Linked DNA regions of Drosophila melanogaster. The protein of the gene in region 2 interacts with the protein of the main gene of each other region in a pairwise test. Each region holds a gene or a part of one and is shown on either strand. Other genes may lie near its edges.

Region 1 (3,320 bases), on a different chromosome or scaffold from region 2:
TCATTAAGTCGTTAATGTGGTTGAGGTTTTTTGCCTACAGTTCCGCCGAACCACGCCCATCCAGACCAAATGAGCTAGCAGAAATTGAACTTTGCAAAGCCATCAAATTAAATAAATACTGAATATAGTGTTTCCTCACAAGTGAAATGCTAAATGCTCTTAGCATAAAAAATAAATATAATTTATTAAAAAAATTTTATGTATAATGCATAATTTGTATATAATATTTGTTTTCCTGGCTGGTTAGTATATCATCATAAATCTAAAAACAATGGACTTACTCAGCTAATGAGCTGTCTAGATAAAACCCAACATCCTCGAAGGAAATCCCTTAGATGGCGTATCGCAAAATGACGATGTAAGATGCCTATTCCCGGTCGGCAAGCCGCAGACATATGCACCTCCTTAGATGTACTGATCGATATCCTTTGGGGCCGTGTGCAGGCGCAGGATAATTGAATTTGAAGTGAAGCTGCTCCTTGTGGCAGTTATGAAATTTCTAGCCCGGCTTCCGCTGCCAGGGAACGGAAACAAAAGCGGGGCAAAACGAAGTTACAAGTTGCCAGCAAGTGTGAGTGTGCGTCTGGCTCAATATATGGGCATGGTGCCGGGTCTGGAGGTGGCGCAAAGGATCAGGATGCGATGACGAGGCCCACATCAGTGCTGCCAGGAGGAGACAATAAATTCACTTAGGCGGCGGAAACAGAAGAACAAACTGAAGGGAAAACTCAATAAATTAGACCGTATTGGAGAGAAAAACTGTTTTTTAACGGCCATATTAAGTTTTAAATTCTTATGAATCTTGAACTTTTTCACTCTACGTAAGATATTCGAAGAACATCAGCCCATTCAGAAACCCCAATATTACACATTATGTTATTATGGTTTTACATTTTTCAGAGGTTCTTCTTGTGGAAAGGATAGCAAAAGCTGTCAGCACTGCCACACATGCCCCCATGTCATGCAGCCTCGGCAATGAATTTGCGTTTCCGCCTCGCCGCTTTCGCCATCATGGTTAACCGCGTCGTTGATTTAAGGGCGTTCTCCGTTCCTTGCGAGTAGCTGGCGTACTCCGCATCCTTTGTCCTTACTGCTCGAGCGACACAATTAAAAATGTGCGGCCCAATTCATTTGATTGGCACGAAGGAAGCGACGAGATAAGCAACTTCCGTTGGCTGAAATTTTGGCATCTTCATCAATCAAGAATGTGCTCGTTCTCGTGGGCTGGCTGTTGGGGAAAATGTCATATAGGTTGATAGAAAAAACAGCAATATAAATATTTCAAATTAATAATTGATGTCTACCAAAAGCAGTTAAATTTTTTAATATCTTCACAATTATTGCCGATTTCCAATAAAAATATAACAAATTAATAAAGTATAAATTTAAATCAACTTAATTCCCAATAAAAAGTATTTCATAATAAATAAAACAAGGATAACGCTAGGAACAGTAAGTAATAAACTAGTATTCCCTTATGAAAACCCATGAATTTAATGTCCGATTAAAATTGTAATATTTAGCGCCTAATCGATAACAAGTATGTATACAGCTGTTTTAAACTGTCTGGTAGCACTGATCTTATCGAATATGTACAATTCCATCCCTAGAAAAACTTGCATAAAAAATAAAGAACAATTGAACAATTGCATTTAGAATGGAGTATGTGCACTCTGTTTGGAGCTACCTAGCCTCGATCTGCAACTGCTGGCAATGCACCGAAGATCCAGGTGCGCAGGTAATCCGCACATTCCCCTTTCCCCGTCAACAGACCGAATACACAATGCGTTCCATCTGCAGCCCAACGAGCCGAACGAGCGGACACACCTTCTCGTGGACCCGGTGAACCATAGTCCTGCCCTTCGACGGAGCAACTCCGATGGCCTCAGCACCGACTACGCCCACTCCCTTCCCAAGAAGGACGATCAGAACGCCCTCTCCAGACTGGTGCAGAATACTGCGATGTACGTAGTTGATAGTGTATAGGGTCCACATTTGGCACTATCATATACAATTCCATTGATTGGAATGCTAGCATTTTACAGCGATTGCTATACTATACTATACTATAGTAGTATACCTACGTAGTTATAGCGATGGCAGGATCTAGTATGTAGTATGGTTATACCCAAGCATTTATCGGGATGTTCAATGCAACAAAGCAACACAGCCCTAATTATCGCTTATCTATATTATATTTGTATTCGCTTATACGCTACTTTGCTCTCCAGAAACATGATAAACGTTGGAGCCATGGACTGTCACAGCCTGGAGCACCAGGAGTACGCCGATAGAATAAGATTGTACTCGCAGCGGTTGCATCAACAGTGGAACAACGGCCAGCACGCCAGTATCGCACCAAAAGGTTTGCAATATAGCTAGATTGAAAGGGTGAATGATGACTAACAATTAAATGAACAACAGGTCTCCTTAAAGATGTACCAAGCCATCAGTTCTATCTGTCTAAGCCAACCTATCCAGATGACACTGCTCAAGTGAGTTTTACTTTTCGCAAATTGCTTGTTGCTTACCAATTTCGTATGTTTTTAGATGAAGCTCTTCACCGAGAAGGCACACATCAGTGTCTCGCACATACAGATCGACCACAAAGAGGCCGTGGTTGTTCCCTTCCGGATTCCCTGATTATCGTATCTTAAGTGAAATAAAGTGATAAATTTATATAAAATCAAAATCTATATTGGTACTAAGTAGCCCTTGAATAACCAGGTAATCGACTTATTTTCATTAAGTGTACAGAAGCAAATAAATACATACTATATTCTTAACACGGCAAGACATTTTTTTTATTTAGGAAGGCACACACACACACATATAGCTAAAATCCAAAATGTCGTTCGATCTTAACCATAAATTTTGGGTCTACACGCGCAAGGAAATTGGTAAATTAATCAAGAAGCAGAACCGCCTGAAGAAGATTGAGCCGCCAGAGGAAAAGGCAGTATCGTATAAAATTTACGCAGAGCTCTATGTTTTGTATGTGGAGCTGGTCAATAAGTTAAGTTTCATATACCACAATACTTTCCAAGTGCAAAAGCGGGCATTGGTACGTGTTTTGGTGGAGAATGCCACTCAGCAGCTAATGCAACTCAAGGAGGAGTTAAAAGACTTGGAAATGAGCGAATACATTTACATAGATAAGGCGCTGATCGCTAGGAAGCTAACACCACGGGACCTGGTCGTATGGAGGTCACCACAATTCCTTTACCGTCGCCCGTTGGACATTCAAAATATCATTGCCGACAACCGATTGTACATGAACGATGAGGAAAAGGAAGAAAAGGCAGCCCAGGATTGGGTTC
Region 2 (3,496 bases):
GAAAAGCAGTTCATTTTTATTGCAAGTTGGTAAGCAATAAGATTAGAAATAGAACACACAATGGTTCTATTGTAAATGTTTGTATTCATAAAACTATATTAAATGTGACGTTTTAAAGCAAACGATAAGCGGGCCAACGGTGCGTATGAGTTATAAGGGGGACGCAACAATTCACTTACAAGTTTTTTCCTCAGTAGTACACCTTGACTTGTTAAATACATTCGTATTCGTATTTATTTGTTGTAGGTAAATATTAGTTTCTTTTATTAGCTAAAACATCTGCGGCTTATCTTTTGGCGTATCGCGATTGTTTCTATTTCACCACGATTCAAGGGCTTGTAATTGTTATCTTCTGAGATTTTTAGTATTGCTTGCACCTTTTGTTTGTCAAGAGTTTAGCACTATCTTGCCGAAATAAACTCGAAAGCGCTATTATCAGTCATGAACACTGTATTTCATATAAAAAGGTCAGTTATTGCCGAATTACACACATAAAGTGCAATCAAGCTATTAGATAAGTATTTTCCCAGGAAATTAAAAGCAACGACGTAGTTGAGCCAATACGTAGTAGTACTTAAACTTTTATTTATTTTAACTATTTACACAAGTTCAAGATTATCATTACATGTCATCCAGCAATCCAAACTGATCCAGAAAAGGCAGTGTGACACTTAATTTCTTTTTTATATTTTCCGATTCATAAACTGAGTTCTTGAATCGCATTCCACTCTCGGAACTGGATAGGACCTGCTCAATAGAAGCATCCTCTTTGCCCTCGTACTGCATGACAGGCTCAAAAATCAAGGAACAGAATACGGCTGCGGATAAATTATTTAAAAAACTATTTTGAAAGAGAGTTAAGAACTGTACCCACCATAGAATCCTCTCGAGCGGAACTGCAGTTGGAAGTCGAACAAGCTGGGTATCCGACCAGCATATTTTAACTTCCTTAGGGCCTCCGTCAGCCTATAGTAATAAAACTGAACCAATTCTGTTTGATGTTCCAAGCGAAGATTATCCTGCAACGAGGTGGAGAAGAAGTAGTGGAGATCGATGGCCGGCGAGTTCCACACGCTGAACTGGAAGTCAATGAAGATGGCATTCGTGGGATGCTCTTTTGCATCGTACTGGAACATAAAGTTGGTGGTCCAAAGATCTCCATGGGCCAGAGTTAAAAAGTCGCCAGGACTACTAGTCGTCGATCTTTCGCCATAGTCCATCAAACGTTCCACAAGCCTGTCGATCTTGGCCTTGTACCGCTGTCCCAACTCCTCATCCGAAGCAAGGGAGCGGGACAGAGCCTCCAGAAGATTGGTCATGATCGGGGCGTATGCCCGGGTGTGTTTGTTGAAAAAGCCACGATCATAGTTCTTGTCGAAGATACCCGGCTGTCGCTCGGCGAGAACTGATGAAGCTGCATGAAAGAGGGCCAGTTTCTCCAGTACCAGGTGGGTGTGTTCTAGGTCCAGCTTCTTTCGACGGCATGCAACCTTGTAATGATCCAGTGACATGTCCTCGAAGATGATCGAGTCCCTTTCGCGGTCCACATTCATGGTGGCCGCAAAGAGCTTCCTGGAGTCTTTAAGCTCCTTCCTCACCATATCCGCCAGCTGGGGAAGGATGTGCTCGTATATATCCATTTCACGGGTGTAGACACCATAGTGGATGAGCACATCGCCGGCTGGATCCCGGTCAGCGAATGTGGTCTTAACCAGAAATGTGGTGGACTGTTTCCCTTTCGATACCTTGGTCGTGTACTCCACATTGATGCGGGTCATCACGCTGCCGTAGTTTCCTCCATTGGCCACGGCTGGCTTTGTATCCAACGTCGCCAGCTTCAGTGAGCTATCCTTGAAGTAGGTGCGCAACTTATCCTGCACATATTCCGAGGTGAGCCAAACTGGCGCTGGGTGAACTTTGTGGGTAGATTTCTCAGTCATGATCCTATCCGTAACTCAGGGCTTTCGCTTCTGCGACATTGCGAACGGAGTCCGACCACTTTTATAGCCAACTTTAGTGTATATATGATAAGTTTAGTGCAAGTATCTCGTGGCAACTGGCTTCGTCATGGACAAACAACACTTGAACAATTTCGAGTCTGGTCGAACGCTCACGTTTTTTGCAATGCACTTTTTATTAAGTATTCCTGGTAACCAAAATTTCGCAACTTATCACCATATACAGATTCATCGCAACAAATTTATAATTAATTCATTTTGTTTTACATTTCCCAAAGAAGAGAAATACAACTTAATATTTTTTATTGTTTGTTATCGAATATCGTAAAAAGTAAGTGAATTAATTTAGTGGGTTGCCTTGATAGTTTTTCCAAGAATTCCCCCGTATCGTCGTCTGTAGCTAATTTTAATGTCAATATCAACAAAAACAATTAGAAAACTTTTTAATACGGATTTTGTCCCGTTTTCATGTTTTCTAAACATTTACCTACAATTAGCACCTGTGAATTGTCATTCATAAGTGCATACACAATTAATAAAAGTTAGTAATAGCAGGGAAAGTAATCGAAATTATTTTGTATTTATTATATTTTATAAGCAAATATAAAATCTATAATTACGATAATAATATTACTATTTTCGCTTTACATCACGTCTAGTAAACCCAAATGATCAAGAAAGGGCAAAGTGAGACGCATCTTTTTCCTGGTCTCCTCCGCCTGAAATGCGTCATCCTTAAAGCGCATTCCCTTCTCCGAAAGGGATATTATCTGATCCATTGATGCCTCTTCCTTGCCCGTGTACGTCATCGTTGGTTCAAAGATCAGTGATGCGAAGGCAGCTGAATGATAACATAAATGAATATAAATTCCTTAACCAGGCACGTTAGTATACCCACCATAGAAGGATCTGTTCCTGAACTGCTGATGGAAGACGAATAGGCTCGGAACATTTCCGGAATACTGGACTTTCTTCAAGGCAGCATTCAGTTTGTAATAGTAGAACTGGACCAGCTCTGGCTGTTTCTTCAGTCGAATATCAGCCTGCAAGGCCGTTGAAAAGAAGTAGTGTAGATCGATGGCCGGCGAGTTCCAAGCACTGAACTGAAAGTCGATAAAGATGGCATTTATGGGATGTCCTTTGTCGTCGTATTGGAACATAATATTGGTGGTCCAGAGATCCCCGTGAGCCAGGGTCAAAAAGTCACCGGGAACAATGGTCGTCGATCGTTCTCCGTACTCCATTACGTTCTCCACCAGTCGATCGATCTTTGCCTGGTAACGCTGACACAGATCCGGCTCCAGCTCCAGGGATCGGGACAAAGCCATCAAAAGATTCTTCATGATGGGCTCGTAGCCGCGGGTATGCTGGTTAAAGAATCCACGATCGAAATTCTTCGCAAAGATTCCAGGCTGGCGCTCAGCCAAGGCTGCTCCGGCAGCATGGAAATTGGCCAGCTTCTCGAGTACCAGATGAGTGTGCTCCAGATCCAGTTTCTTGAGCCGATCGGCCACTCTGTAATTCTCCAGGGACATATC

The links. Proteins that work in one complex are often made in the same cells at the same time.
Region 1: the proteins of CG11878 (region 2) and Lamtor1 interact in a two-hybrid assay, tested with the Drosophila melanogaster proteins (one large-scale study listed by BioGRID).

The regions. Positions count from the first base shown.
Region 1 is NT_037436.4:20,027,290-20,030,609, reverse strand, and holds Lamtor1 (late endosomal/lysosomal adaptor, MAPK and MTOR activator 1), read left to right. Parts: upstream 1-1,589; 5' UTR 1,590-1,657; coding exon 1,658-1,738; intron 1,739-1,800; coding exon 1,801-1,964; intron 1,965-2,231; coding exon 2,232-2,365; intron 2,366-2,424; coding exon 2,425-2,495; intron 2,496-2,550; coding exon 2,551-2,643; 3' UTR 2,644-2,791; downstream 2,792-3,320. Other genes in the region: CG14183 (uncharacterized protein), read left to right, coding at 2,849-3,320.
Region 2 is NT_033777.3:25,272,292-25,275,787, reverse strand, and holds CG11878 (uncharacterized protein), read right to left. Parts: upstream 1,952-3,496; 5' UTR 1,941-1,951; coding exon 875-1,940; intron 819-874; coding exon 622-818; 3' UTR 551-621; downstream 1-550.